Linked DNA regions of Drosophila melanogaster. The protein of the gene in region 2 interacts with the protein of the main gene of each other region in a biochemical or structural test. Each region holds a gene or a part of one and is shown on either strand. Other genes may lie near its edges.

Region 1 (4,401 bases), on a different chromosome or scaffold from region 2:
CTCTCACTTGGACGTACAGAAAACACGCAGTTTTCGGCGGGCACAGATACTGAAGCTGCTCAGCGAGCAAGGTCGCCGGCTCGAAGTCGCTTTCAAGGACAACAACTCGTCTTCCAAGAAATTTGAGAAGCAGATAGCCAGATATGTAAATCAGCTAGAAACGAAGGCTAGCAGTTCCAAGGAACTCAATCTGCTGCTTAAGATCCTCGCCCAAGGAGGCGAGAAGTGGCAGAAACTGCGTGAACAAATTCAGCTCGTCGCCAAGGATCTTCAACCCAACAAGAAGGTGGCGAAGCAGAAGAAGCAGGCAGCCGCCAAACCTATGGTCGTGGAAGATGAAGAGTCCACATAACGTAAAAGAAGGAAACACCCCAATAAGAAACCTTACAATTAGATGTATAAATATCTTGCATAATATAGGATACTATTAATTTTTTTGTTCTTTAAAAAATTCTGACGAAAAGTACTAAATTAGTATTGAAGTCATTGAAAAAATAGCAAAAGTACACTAAACTTTATAAAAATGTATTTTTACCTTTATAGAGCAATTTGAGTGGACGTACAACTGCGCTAACGTTAAAAACCAAAATCACAGACGAGGTGGAAAGTACACGTGCTGGCGAAATGTGCTTTTAACATTCGGCACCATGGACTCGTCATTACTGCCTCGCTTTTTAGACACTTCGTTGGTGACAATCGTCAGGATATCGGCGATGTGTTCACTAAAGTAACAAAGAACAACTTATGCATTAATTCGGGGCTAGCTTGCTTTGGCAGCTTTTTACCTGGCGGAACGGCGATCGATGGCATCGCACAGGCTCCCGATAAACCAGCTACCTGTTTGGGTGTGGCGCAGAGCAGCATATCCATTTACCGTGGACATGGCCCGCAGCATGTCGATGTGCTGGTCCGGCGACACGGTGGTCACGTCTATCCTAAACTGAAAGAGGAATACGAAAATGTATAGGCTTTCCCATTCGACGACTTCATGCTTATAAATCTCCTTACGAGCTCATTTGGCTTCTTTTTATGGACAAGCTTCTCCTGGCAGGCTTGTATGATTAGCAACTTCGGTTTGTAGTACAGGGTGTCGTAGCTGCAGAGCAAGTCCTCGATATCCGTGATCTTCATGGCGATGCTGTTGGATGCGTAGACGGCCTCCTCGAAGCCGTGGCTCAGGATGAAGACCACTAGGGAATCGCGCACGAGCGATCTATCGCACGCACTGCGAATGCGCTCTATGATGCCCATGTGATCCACGTTGTCGTACGCCTCCACATTGTATCCCATCGAGGAAAACACCTCGATTAGTCGTTCTTTATCCACATCCGTGCCATCCCGTCTACGCAGTGGGTCGGGCGACAGAAATTTCTGTGGAGAAGGGCAATGTTGTACTTCTTTTTGTTACTCAATATTGCAGAGATGAAACCATATTATCCCTGCTAACATTCCGGTGAAACTTCTGCTGGTTGATAATCAAGGCGATTCCTGCGTTCTCCCGGGTCAACTTAAGAGCATCTATTTGTGTGGAACAGTACGACTGCTGGTTATCCGATTCAATCTCTTGCTTGACTGCCATCGCAGCAGTGCCAGCCGCATCTGGCTCCGGAGCGTTACTAATGATGGTGTCTTTGAGCAAATTTGCTTGCGCCTGCAGACCGTTGGACTTCAAATGGCCGACCAGCAGCTGAACATCGCTGCCTGCGGCATTTATGTCCCCTAACTTTATGCTCCTTCTGGTCAGCCAGTCCAGCAAAAAGATCTCCAGGTACGCGGGATCGTAGAAGCGAAGTGGATCTCCTGCCTGCTGGCTCTCCACCTTTTCGCGAACATCTAGGAGCAAGCGGCCACTCTGCACCAACGACAACTCCTCACACATCCTGTAGAGGCTCTTCAACAGAGGATGGACATGCAGCGTGATCCCAGCGATATGCGGCAAGTAGTGCATTCGCAGCTCCTGCCAGCAGAAACCCAGTCTCCGGAGCACCTTGCGGGCCCCAATAATGCACAGGGCCTCCACGAGATGTCTTCTCCAGGTTTCTGGCCGGGACTTGGCGAACTTTATGAGTAGATCACTTTGCGGGAAGTCTGATCGTGTCATGGCCAAAAGTTTCTGCAGAATGTAGGTGGCATCCGAGTGGTCGTCGCCATAAAGCAGAAAGCAGAGGCCCACCTAGAAGAAAACGAAGGTTCTACTGTTTAATTAACACTTTGGTCTAGCGGATGTGTAAAACATTTGAGTCATATTCGAAAAGTCCTCCCAGGGAGGTGCCATACCTTTTGGGCAAAGTTCATGTCACGTTCCACGTAGATCAGATCGTTCTGATCGATGGTGTCTAGATGAATCAACAGGTTTGATCCGGCCATGGCGATCGGGAATATACAAAAATGTTTCACTTTAGGAAATGGCCGATAAATTGCACTCGCTGACATCCGATAGCCGTGGCCTGAAGAGCTTCCACCGATCGATATCGATAAATGGATATGTTTTCTGCAATAGCGAAAGATCGGGGTGCTACCTATTAATTATACTTAAGAAACAGATGATGTAGTTTTTTGATATAGAAGTTTAACAACCGGTTCAACAATCGGTTAATATTTAAAAATGTCGCAGCCAGCGAGCCTTTAGCTTTAAAAGTAAGCTTGCGTTCACGGTTTTTGGGGAAATACCAAATATACTAGGTAAAAACATCGATTAACTAATATCATCCAACACGACGATATGTTCTTTGCGAAAAATATCGATGTACTGGTATTTTTATGTTTCCACACCTCTAGTTCGTTTAAGTCGATCTGTTGAACTGTTAACAACACAACTCCTGAATATTATGTTTTGGACGAAAAGTTTTATTAATTTAATGTTTTTGTATATTGTATTCTGTCCATGAGCGTAACAGAGACAGACAGAGAGAAAGGGACAGATACTGAGATACGGGGCCCTCAGGCAGAGAAAGAGGGCGAAAGCAAGCTACAAGCGGGTGCGAGCGAGAGCGCGCGCTTGCCTCACGCACATATATATAAATCTGTACATACATATAGTATCAGAAGAAAAAACTAAAGCCGCTATTCGATTTACGAAAACTGGCGAAAAATTCGACGATTTGTCTCGTACCTATCTATGTACCTCACAACCACTTCGTCATCAAATACGTATAAGTCAGATGTATGTCAAACATATATATACATATGCATGTATATACACATCTATGTGAGGCCACTGCTATATCCCATACATGTATGCCTCTATATATATGTATATATTTATCCACCTACTGTACCACTTCCACATTATGTAAGCAGCGACGCAAACAAAACACTAAAGCAGAAAATCCGAAAAGCAAAATGCGAAATGCAAAACAACGAACCAACAAAATCCCATCTATAAACCGAAAACCGAACAGCAATGTTATAACAAATACCGAAAAGTTGTTAATGTTCCACAAAAAAGCATAAAGCAGTCACGCTAAGAGAGTAAGATCGAACAAATGAAATGTTTGTATGGCATAAGTAGTTCCCAGATTTTTGTATGTACTTCAATGCATATGCATGTGTGCGTATGCATGTATGTATGTATGTTTCTCGGGGCCATGTCTCCCCACGCCCACGTACGTGGGTGCTAGAAAGGGACAGATGGTGCAAATTTTTTAAATTGCATACACTTGATTTTGGAACGCCAGCCAAACAAAAAGATAAATTGCGTGCTTTTCTTTTGCTGTTCGTATGTACGTACATATGCAAGTGGAAACTGCGCAGCAGGGAAGCCACACGCATGAACGCCTTCCATTTACAGAGCATTCAAACAAATCGTACCGAAAACCAAACAAAAACTTTCACCTCAAGTGTAACAATTATATTCAAATTCGCTTTGAAGTCGCTGTAAAATATATGTATGTATGTATAAACAAAGACAAAAACATTTTGCCTCGCAGTCGACACACACACGCGCACTCGCACTGCACGCCTCGGCTGTGTGTGTGTATGCCCTGCTTAGATCATGAGTGTGCGAGCGAGTCGACATGCTTGGCAATCGCGAGTCAGAACTAAACACGCGCTCTATATGCACGTGTGTGAGACGCATTGGATTTTGTTATTTTCATCAATCGCAATGATTCCGTCCATCAGCTACATCCAAATATATACACGCATCCGCGCCATATGTACAATGCTACGAGCATTTACATACACATGTACATATGCGCGTGTGGCTCATAACGGTTCACTCCGCTTACGCACAATAATAAAGGCAAACGCCTACGACTTCCCCATTGTTCCTAGGCTCAATGGAAAGCCACTCCGTTGCTTTCGACTTTCGCTTTTCGGATTCTGGAATTTGTTTCGCTGTCCAAAACTACGTATAACTGAATCTTTATGTTAAGCCAATTGTAAAAAGTGTATTTTCCT
Region 2 (5,987 bases):
GTTCATCTGGGAGAGTCACGCCATTTGCGCTTATCTGGTTAGACGCTATGCCAAGAGTGATGACCTGTATCCCAAGGATTACTTCAAACGCGCACTCGTTGATCAGCGCCTGCACTTTGAGTCGGGTGTGTTATTCCAGGGCTGCATCCGGAACATAGCCATTCCGTTGTTCTACAAGAACATAACTGAGGTGCCGCGTTCCCAGATTGATGCCATCTACGAGGCCTATGACTTTCTGGAAGCGTTCATCGGTAATCAGGCTTACCTCTGCGGACCGGTCATAACCATCGCCGACTACAGTGTAGTTTCCTCGGTCTCCAGCCTAGTGGGATTGGCCGCTATCGATGCCAAGCGCTATCCCAAGTTAAACGGCTGGCTAGACAGAATGGCCGCACAGCCCAATTACCAGTCGCTCAATGGCAATGGGGCACAGATGTTGATCGACATGTTCAGTTCGAAGATCACAAAGATTGTGTAATTGTTTGCACTAGCTTAAAGGTTACAAACGCAACGTGTTCTGATTACGTAACAATAAAGCTTCTATTTGTATAAACTTTACAAAAATGCTTTTAAATACCAGCTCAATTAGCTGGTTTTTTTTTTCGACACAAGTATCACAACTTAAAGATTAAACTGCAGTAATAACAGTTAATGCAATTCTACGCACTTATTCGATAGGTTGGATTTATAAATCAAATATTGCACATATATCCCGTGTTCGTCTCTTCTCTCTACCACTCGATGTCTTCTGTCAAAGGCCGCTCTGAATTTAGCAAAAGTTGGTGGGTTAAACATTTCCAGTTTTCACCATCCGGCTGGCTTGGACATCAAGGGGCCACTTTGAATGCATCGTTTTCGTTCTGGAATCTTTGCTAGCAAGTTTCACTCACTGACTAGCTGTTTGTCTTGCGCTTCTCCAGTGCCTTCCAAACCAGTTTCATGCGCTGCACGCAGTCGCGATGCTGGGACTCCCACAGCAGTGTAGTAAGTCGTCCAACGGTGGCCACACCGTCCGCCGAGCTTCGAATCCACTGGAGCAACAGCTGGTATATCACCTATAGACGTAGACACAAAGCAAAGTGTTATTTTCTGATTTTATGATTGATTTTCTAACTCTTAAAAATCATTAAAATCTTCTGGTACTCTAACAACAGAGTTGTGACATTTATACACCATAACTTGCAATCTAATCAGACAAACAAGTGGAATCACTATCAGTATTATATAAAATAAATAGCTCACAATAATGTAAGCTAATTTATATTATTTTTTTTTTTAAGTTGAACAATCCATTCGTGTCAAGCAATGAAATCTAACAGAAATAGTGGTATTTGAGTCATTAAATTAGTCTGATGCGTCACAATCATCTTAGCATAGTCTGTTGTTTTACATACTAATTTGAGTTTGTATGTTCTGTTCTTGAATCAACATTCAACAACAAATAAGAGAAGTTTAAACTTCAGGGGCCTTACCTCTCTAATATTGCCATGCATTTGGTGATCGATTATGGCCTGGTCGATCTGTCCTTCCGACATGCCAAGATCCCGCATCACCTGCTTCCAGCCCTCGCCCAAGTGCGTGGAAACCACATCGAGCAGGCGCACATCCGGTTCCTCTTGTGACTGCATCATGGCCACAATGCTGACCGTTTTGCGCGTCGCACTTGCCCGCGGCTTACCGTCTGGAGAGGCGACCGACTCCTCTGCGGTACTGGTGCTACCCTTTCGCGAGCTGCAGGCGCTCAAGTTTTGGTTGAAGTTGTAGACGGAGCCGAAGTGCAGATTATTGGCATTCGAGAAGTTCATGACCACCTGTTGCTGGGCGCTGTGTACGTTCATGGTGTTGTTTGTCTGGACGTTACTGAGAGTGCCCGGAATATTGGCGGAATGCACCACATCCATTGAATTGTAGTTTGGGTCGCTGAGCTCGCGCAGCACGGATTCGGTCAGATCCGAGGAGGCTGTGGGCGTGCCAGCGGTGGAGGGCAGCGCCAGGGCTCCGCTGTTGTTGTTATCTGGTTCGTTGTCGTCCACGGGAGCTGCGTCCTTTTCCAGGCGTCCCTCGACGGGTGTCGGATTCTGTGCCTCCTTCCCGCCAAAGATTGTGGGCAACAGGTTCCTGAGCTTTGACATGCTGCTCGCTGATAACTGGTAGCTTTGAATGTGCTCTCGCTTCCGGAAATTCCACAGATTGGGGAGTTTTTTGCCTTTGTGTTTCTTTGCTCTTTTTCAATTTGGTGGTGGTAGGCCAAGGATGGACCTGACTATCGATATTCCGAGCCGATTATCAACCGATATTTCACTTACAACTAAAAATTTTTAGTTTTATTAAGAAATTCAACTAAATAGCATTTCTTGTCTTTTCCGTCTGATTGAAAAAATCAATTATATTTGACTAACATACAAAACTTAACATTTGAATTTTAATTCTTAATCATTATGTGCATATAAGGAAAAAATTTAAGCATTTATATCTAATCTTTATTAATTTGCATATAAGGAAACCCCCATAATAACGATTATCATCTTTAAAAACTGGTGTTTGTTGTCTAAGTTTTTTTTTAATATATTTTTTTTATTGTTACTATTGAATAATTCTTTAATTAATTTTTGAAAATCCCCAAAAGAAGGCCATGGTAATAGACCCAATAGTCGATAGTTCGATTTGACAGTTCGCGCTTGCGATTGGTAAGAGCGACAACCCTGCACCCGCTGCGGCGTATCGCCCATCTCTATTTGCCACGTTCGCTCATGTTCATTCACATTTTACTTGGAGTCGGTAACGTTGAGTTCCGCGTCCGTGCGTTCTGCCTTCCAATAGAAAGTCTGGGTGTGAATTTACCAAGATTCCAGTGCGAAAATCAACTCACATTGCTCGGTGATCCGTGCGGCGGTATAATTGCAGCCGGAATTGCATAAGTTGCGGCGAGCGAAAGAGAGTGCACGGATTTACAGTTATAAAGGGCCGGCAGCGGTGGGGCGGCGACGGCAGAGCAAGCAGAAGAAGAAGAGACGGCAGTGGCGAATTAAAAAAAACGATGAAAGAAAATTCGGGCCGCTAATTTTTCTTCAAATTTGTGTGCGGTCGGCGAAAAACAACGTGTTTTTCAATGGTTGATAATACACACGGACGGCGCACTCGCGCTCACCCACACAGTCACAAAAGTCGGCGACGTCGACGACCCACACGCTCACATAGGGACGTAAAATCCCGTGCATACGTGTGAGCGTGCATATATAAGCATATTTGTCCGATTGGAAGGCGCGCGTGCTGCCTTTTATTTTTTTTTACTTTAATTTTCCTATTTTTCGAGAGGGGGAGGCAGAGTTAAGGCCCCGCCCCGTGCCGGAAAAGAGGATCCACACAACCTTTCACCTGGAAAGCATACGGCACTGATTTCCGCATTTCCATACTCTCACACACACACACAGACGCACACAAACACGCCCACGCGCTGCTCCAATTTTGCCTCCGCTGCTGCCACAAAAACAATTGTCCAATAAGTGGCCCGCATATGCTGCCCCCCTCCCCTTCCTTCACCGTGCTCTCTGCAACAACGCGCTCTCTGCGACAAATAACATTAGACTTTCTATTGGGGATGTGCATAACGCAGAATGACTGACTAAATGATTTGTAGGGCATTCATCCTGGTGATGCCACGATCCGATCTTCTGCATCCGCTAATTGCATTAATTTTAAGCAATTGTTTTTCGGCTTTTCCAGCAGACACCCAAGTTATCAAACTGGATTTGGTCAAAGGAGAGTAAACTCGGCCGGATTTTTTGGATTTTACAGTACCGTAAGTTGAACAACCTTTGCCTAGAGTTAATTTGCATAGTTTAACATTTTACACAAGTGTTTTGCCAAAAAAAAGACAACAAATGTCGTCCAAGTTAACGGTTTCATGCCTAAAACTGACTACGTCAAGCTTTTCTTTTTTTGGTCTTTGGGATCTTTGTATCGAAATTACAGAAACAAGAATCCATCCGATATGTGCATACCAATTTTGTATATATGTTTTTTTTTTTTTTGGTTTTTTGTTTAAAGCTGAACTTTAGCGCATTGTTATTGTGCTTTGTCTTCATTTGTCGACGTCAGCGTCGCTGCAGGCGTCACATACGAACGTATGAACGATGGTATTTGCTATGTAGGTATGTTGCTTGTTTTCGTTTTTTACCTGTGCCTTCTCGAAAGGTGGCAACACACACACACAACCGTATTCCCGAAGAAGAAAAAGAGCGACACAGAAATGTGCAGGCACACAGGCACAGCACACTCACATGCATACAATACACCACTGGCACTGCTCGATCGTTTTGTTGTAGTTGCCGGCTATCATCCGGTTTTATATGGAGCTGCTCCCCTGCTCCGTTAAGTTACTTCGTCAAGCTCTCGCTCTCTCCTCTCCCTGTTCCTGTCGCTCTCGTGCTCTTGTCTCTGTATTTGACACATTTTTCATGAGCACAAACAGATTCGTCGTTAGGTGATTATTTTTTTGGGAAATTAATTCTGAAATGAAAAACTATTATTAAATGTTAGGGATAATGATCTGGTGTCACTTGCAGTTGTCATTGTTATCTGTAATATATAAATGTATTAAGCTTTCATTGAAATTTACAAAACCGTATGATTTAAAAGTAAGAGGCCCCCTTTACACATACCCTGCCACCGCCGCTGTCCGCACATACAAAGACACAACTAACAGAGAGGAGACAGACATATCTTTGTTGTTCTTTCGGTAGAGAGGAAAATGTAGGCTACGAAAACTCGTTGGGCATGGATTTAGAAAACAGCTTTGGTCGAACAAGTGCATGGTCTCTGCTGCTCCTCGGCTGAGATCTCTCTTTCTCATTCGCGAGGCCCCAACCTTTCACCCAATCGAAATCCGACTGATAGCAGCCTAAATTTCGGAAAGCGCACTTGTAGCATTGTGTGTTTGTGTGTGTACGTACCACAATATCTTGGTGGCAATCGGACGACTGAGCTTATCAGCCAGAACGGCCGATAGTTATCACTCAGCCCCGGAATCTGCCTGCGTGGCCCATCGGCCGCGTCCACTTATCACCACCGAAAAGCGGAGAGTTGTGTCGAGCACTCATCTCGCAGATCCAAGCACTACGTGGCCTTAGTTTCAGGCTGTGGTGCAGAAAGCTCGTTTGAAAAGAGACTATTTCGGTTTATCAACGCCAGAAAATCCATTTCATGCACCCCCTTTGGACACGCACTGTTTACAGTGGGGCATGCAACATGGTTTCCCGGAATGATTCTGCATTCAGTCGAAGGAAACTTTACGAATATAAGCTACAGAGGTGAATTCAATGAATAATTTATGATCTAATTTAATAGATATTTTATTAAATGTAGTATTGGATGTTATTGGAAATTTCTTCCATTCACAAATTAAGAAGAAATGGAAAACAGCAAACAAAAAATTGCAAACTTTTGACGTTTTTATAAGAAAGCAATAGTAACGCAACTTGTTAGATTTCCTGTACATAAGTCACGCCGCATATCCAATGAATTATCTTTGTACTAATTTGTTTACTGTAGCCAAGCGGTCCTAAAGTGTGTATGTACTTATGTAGTTCCTTATCAGTTGGTCGCAGCCAAATGCGGGTCCTCGGAGGTCGCACTTATCAACTATCTGCGATTTTGGTAAGTCTGCGGGCGACTGACAACAGAAACAGATGAAAACTGTAGCTAAACGGGCCTATTTTAATCCATGTTTGCCAAAATAAGAATGCCATTTAACTATTTGTTCTTTGATTGATCGACCAGCACTTCGATAATCCCCTAGAAATTTTTCCTTCCTGGTTGTTTGCTTTATCGCTGGCTGATAAACAAGGTTCATTTATAGGGTCCAGTATGATGTAAACGTTTTAATGCACTTGATAAGATATCTTCTACTTTTCAATTTCAGTGTACTGTAAACGACTTGGAACGAAAAAGGACTTTTCTCTTTTTTTAAGTAATGCAAGCAGCAGCAG
Region 3 (5,014 bases), on a different chromosome or scaffold from region 2:
GGTATAAATATGTATAATTTGTCAATACTACCGAAGAAAAAGCAAAGATATTAAAAAAAGATCATAACAAGATATTCATATCAGCGAAATGCGAGCGGGACTTTAATAATTACTCATAAATTAAATGCGCTACTAATTTAAAATCTAATTTAAATTCAGCAACAGCATTATAACAACAATAAAAAGACGGCTCGTTGCTTCAATTGTGGATCGTCTGAACACATGAAGAAAGATTGCAATGCTGGAACGAAGTGCTTTAAGTGTGGTGCTGTGTGCATATATGTGCATATATCAACAAGTTGCCCGCAGTCAGTTGGTTGGAAATTGGTGCAATTGGTAAAGGATTATACTAAATGGTATTGAAGTTGCTTGCTGGGTTGACACGGGTGCTGATGTTACGGTTGTGATGTACTCGGTGTACATGAGGCAAAAAGATGTTGTGCTAAGTCCATGTCGTTCTTTGTTGCGTGGCCTGGGCAAGGCGGCCACGTTGCCTCTGGGAGTTTTCGCTGGAGATGTTCAAATAGACGATATGGAGACTGTTCAAAACTTCATCGTGGTGGCGGATGAAAAAATGGAAGGTGATGGAAGTGCATTGGATACGATTTTCTATCGAAGTTTCAATTTACACTGGATGTAAATGGGTTTACGTTTTGTGTCGTTATCAGCTTGGCCTGAGGTAGCTAACATTAACCAGATAAGTATTCACGATTATGTTTGCACTGAAAGTAATGTGAATGCTCCTCCCCAATTTGCACCTATGATACGGAAGCTGATAGACGAATATCATCCAACCTCCAATTGTGCCGGATGAGAAAATTAAGACGTTTCGTCATCAACCAAGTCGACATCCGCCAGTTAAAGCCAAAGCCGTTAAAAAACAAGTCGATGACTGGTTAAAAGAAGAAATCGATTGACCATCTACTTCAAGCTTCGCCAGTAGAACTGTCGTAGTGAAGAAAAAAGTACGGCACTTACAGAATCTGTATAGGACTATCGCCAATTAAACAGCATGGTTCTCAAGGATTGCTTCCCTGTGTCGATTTCCTGCAATTCTACTGCGGCATTTATAAGATTTATAAACCACATATTCCCGAGACATTCTACAACTCTATATGGATGATATTATAATATATGGACAGACGAATGACGAATGTATTAAGAAACTAAAGTTGGTGCTATTAGAATCAGCGAAGTTCGGCTTACGTATAAAGTGAAAGAAATGTCATTTCATACGCACGATATTGGAAGAACGACCTTACAATGACCTTAAACTGAAGGGAGGAGTTTTATTCATGTTTGTCAAAGGAAATGATTTGCTTATTGTACCTAAAATAATCGAACGTAAGATTATAAACGAAGCTCATGGATTCGGACATTATGCAAACCAGAACAAACCGTACATTCTATACAACAGCAGTTTTGGATTCCACACCTAGAGAGCAAGGTCGAAAAGCTTATAGACGCGTGTATTCCGTGTATTATTACGAACAAAAAGCTGGGCAAACAGGATGGACTTTTATGATGCATTGAGAAAGGTGACAAGCCGTTACACAATATAAGTACATCTTCGCACTTGTTGGTGGATTTTTGAAATTCGTGTGGATTTTTACTACAAAATGTCTTAACAACAACTGGAGTTGCCAGAGGAAATGGGCGGGTAGAGAGAATTAAATAGATCTATCTTATCGTTTTAAAAATACAACAACGATTGAAAACTCTCGAAATGGGATGTACTGGCGCCATCTATCGGAGGTAATAGGTACCCCGAGACGCATGCAAAGCGCCAGAGGGCGACACAGCTCCTCTGACGAGATGGCATCACTATTTTTATTGGGAGTATTGGTATCTCGGGTGTAAAAATTAAATTGATGCCTAATTTTTGAAAATATGTCACACAAATAATAAGTATCTTTTAAGTGGATAGATCCATTGATGTCGCTGGAATTAAAAATACAAATACCAATGTTATCGTTATCGGCGAGTCCACACTGTGCTAGGCAAAAATATCGACGTACCTTGCGCCCGATATCTGGCACTAATGTATCGATGACGGTCTTGTTAAATTATTAAAAAAAAAACAAGTTTGTACTTGAAAAGTACGGCGTATATCTACAGCGAAGAACGCAAGAACCCGCCAAGGCAGCGTCCGATGCAGACGCCATCTGTTCAAGCATTGAGCCCGGAATCCGGAGGAATCCCGGCCAGGATGTGATGTGCGCACTGGGCCCTCTCCGCTGGTCGATATAAACTCGTGCCCCCCTCTTCTAGCCACCTTCTTGCTGTCAACCGCCTGCTCATTCTACCCCACAGTTCCAGTCCCAGTCCTGCACAGCAATCATCTTCGCCTGGAGAAGTCTACCGGTAGCACGAGTGGTGGAACCAGGCAGACTACAAAGGACACGGAGACCGCGGTGTCTGGGAAATCGGCTGAGCACGGAAACCGATCCACTAGGGTTGGCATCACGCACCACTTTGTCCAGGAACCTGCAGCTGAGGAATCTAGATAACATCTGAAGTCTCCTGGGAACTGCGAAACACACCATATCTTAGCAAAATGACGTGGTAAAAGTTGTCAGTCGCAATCTATACAAAGGCAAGAAACTTTATGATGAATCCAGGTCTAGATCTTGCAAAGATTCCGAAAACTCTGTCCCCAAGAGGGAACCAAAGGCACAGTTAGCCAGCAATGAAATCGGGAACCCACGGAATCGTAGCCACTAAAAAGGCGAAATCCCGGTAATTCTACCAAAATAGCGCACCACCTGGACACCATAGAAGAGAGCCTTAAGGCAAGGAATCGGTGGCATACTTGGACAGTTGAAGAGAACTTTAAATCTGGTAATCAGCGGCGCCAAATGCAACTGCAACTGGTAAACTAGTACTCATTTGTAAGCCAAAACACTGACAAACAAAAGCTGCATCTGAAAAGCAAGTAGAGAACACCAGGATACTTAGCGTTCCACGGAGATGGCCACAGCATCGCTGGACGCACTGCAGGCAGCCTATGTGGACTTCAGTGAGATAACACTAAGAGAGGTGTGCATACCAAACGGAATATACCCAAAGTCTAGAGCTCCTATTGGTGTATACGTATACGCAATCTTGAAACGATAAACAACCAGTAATCATATACCATTTAGGGCAGAGCAAGTACTCATTCTTAGTTAGTCAGACGATTATCGCACTTTCAAAAAGCATGTTTTAATCTATAAACGGTTATTTTTTCGTTTTAAAAGTGTATGCTTTGTAACAGCTCTGTTAAAAAACCCAAGAAAGGTTTTATATTTTAAACTTACGCATTCCTAAATGCTTACATTCGTTTTAGGATTTCGTTTCAAACTTATTAAAACAAACTACAGACTGTATACAAATATCAGCATATTTATTAACGATACGATCTTATCAGTTTGATAAGAAACGAATTTCAAATTTACCCATCACAATGCGTTCGTGTGTTCTACTTGAAGTCAATTCAAACTGTGTTAGACCAAGGTGTATAACGTAATTAGTATTGAGGAGTTTTGCACAAGGAGGGTACAACTGTTGAATCAGATCTAATAATCTTTTTCCCCGCAGAAAGTCGGCCATGGGTCCTACGGAGTGGTCTGCAAGGCCGTTTGGCGCGACAAGCTGGTTGCCGTCAAGGAGTTCTTCGCCAGCGCCGAGCAGAAGGACATCGAGAAGGAGGTGAAGCAGTTGTCGCGCGTGAAGCACCCGAACATCATCGCTCTGCACGGGATATCCTCGTACCAGCAGGCCACCTACCTGATAATGGAGTTCGCCGAAGGTGGATCGCTGCACAACTTCCTTCACGGCAAGGTGAAGCCGGCATATTCTCTGGCCCACGCCATGAGCTGGGCGCGCCAATGTGCAGAGGTAGGTCGTCGTCGAGGGGCGGGGCGGTTATAACGTAGGGCTCAACCCCGTAGCGCTTTCCATCCAATTCGTTGAAATTATCTGGTGAAATAATGACTCAAATGGATTGTGGTAATTCACATTGCTTGCATGATTACTTAAACAATTTCAATAGCTATTCCGCATAACCAGAATTAAAATAATAGTAATTTGTTTAAAGTTTAGCCCTAATTACATTTCCATTTGTTTTCCTCTCTAGGGTCTGGCATATTTGCATGCCATGACGCCAAAACCACTAATACATCGCGACGTGAAGCCGCTGAACCTGCTCTTGACCAACAAGGGACGCAATCTGAAGATATGCGACTTCGGCACGGTGGCGGACAAGTCGACCATGATGACCAACAATCGCGGCAGTGCCGCTTGGATGGCGCCCGAGGTCTTCGAAGGCTCCAAGTATACGGAGAAGTGTGACATTTTTAGCTGGGCCATTGTTCTATGGGAGGTTCTGTCCAGGAAGCAGCCCTTTAAAGGCATCGACAATGCCTACACCATCCAGTGGAAGATCTACAAGGGTGCGTCCTCCAATTCACTCTTTTTCCATCGAGCTTATCGAGATCTGTGCTCCTCGCAGGTGAACGCCCGCCGCTGCTGACCACTTGCCCCAAGCGCATCGAGGACCTGATGACCGCCTGCTGGAAAACGGTGCCCGAGGATCGCCCGTCGATGCAGTACATAGTGGGCGTTATGCACGAGATCGTCAAGGACTATACGGGGGCGGACAAGGCCCTGGAATACACGTTTGTTAATCAACAGGTGAGACAGCTTTATTGGGTCAATACACAATTGTAAAAGAGTCAATTGGTGTTTTTATCTATTGAGGAAAGCGTTCTTTTACTCTGCCCGTCTTTAAAACCTAATTTAAATTCGATATTGTTTGGCACTAAATGCAATCATTACCCTATACGGATAACATCACTTTTGCGTTATTTTCCTTTGCCACACATTGCTAACTCTTGATCCTTGAACTGCTCGCAGATTGTCACCAAAGAGAGCGACGGCACGGTGGCCGCTCAACCGGATAGCCTCAGTTCGCAGGAGGGGGAACTGAGCCCCTCGTCCACACAGTTAACACCGACAACGGCGGCCAACGCCA

What was found. The genes of interacting proteins can lie anywhere in the genome.
Region 1: of the proteins of imd (region 2) and Dredd, one has a biochemical effect on the other in vitro, tested with the Drosophila melanogaster proteins (one study listed by BioGRID).
Region 3: of the proteins of imd (region 2) and Tak1, one has a biochemical effect on the other in vitro, tested with the Drosophila melanogaster proteins (one study listed by BioGRID).

Annotation. Positions count from the first base shown.
Region 1 is NC_004354.4:633,117-637,517, forward strand, and holds Dredd (death related ced-3/Nedd2-like caspase), read right to left. Parts: upstream 2,430-4,401; 5' UTR 2,368-2,429; coding exon 2,278-2,367; intron 2,193-2,277; exon of another isoform or gene 2,174-2,192; coding exon 1,430-2,173; coding exon of another isoform or gene 1,409-1,429; exon of another isoform or gene 1,372-1,408; coding exon 1,009-1,371; intron 941-1,008; coding exon 786-940; intron 723-785; coding exon 590-722; 3' UTR 506-589; downstream 1-505. Other genes in the region: Mybbp1A (MYB binding protein 1a), read left to right, coding at 1-352. UniProt on the Drosophila melanogaster protein: Effector of the programmed cell death (PCD) activators rpr, grim and hid. May play an apoptotic role in the germline as well as soma. Fadd interacts with Dredd to promote cleavage of Dredd and is necessary and sufficient for enhancing Dredd-induced apoptosis.
Region 2 is NT_033778.4:18,409,279-18,415,265, forward strand, and holds imd (immune deficiency), read right to left. Parts: upstream 4,322-5,987; 5' UTR 4,178-4,321; intron 4,152-4,177; exon of another isoform or gene 4,048-4,151; intron 3,800-4,047; exon of another isoform or gene 3,570-3,799; intron 3,079-3,569; exon of another isoform or gene 2,749-3,078; intron 2,309-2,748; 5' UTR 2,133-2,308; coding exon 1,473-2,132; intron 1,056-1,472; coding exon 894-1,055; 3' UTR 518-893; downstream 1-517. Other genes in the region: GstE9 (glutathione S transferase E9), read left to right, coding at 1-478; Dp1 (Dodeca-satellite-binding protein 1), read left to right, coding at 5,972-5,987.
Region 3 is NC_004354.4:20,521,924-20,526,937, reverse strand, and holds the start of Tak1 (TGF-beta activated kinase 1), read left to right. Parts: upstream 1-2,009; 5' UTR 2,010-2,970; coding exon 2,971-3,039; intron 3,040-3,579; coding exon 3,580-3,879; intron 3,880-4,117; coding exon 4,118-4,433; intron 4,434-4,492; coding exon 4,493-4,674; intron 4,675-4,896; coding exon 4,897-5,014. UniProt on the Drosophila melanogaster protein: Component of a protein kinase signal transduction cascade. Mediator of TGF-beta signal transduction. Responsible for activation of the JNK MAPK pathway (basket, bsk and hemipterous, hep) in response to LPS.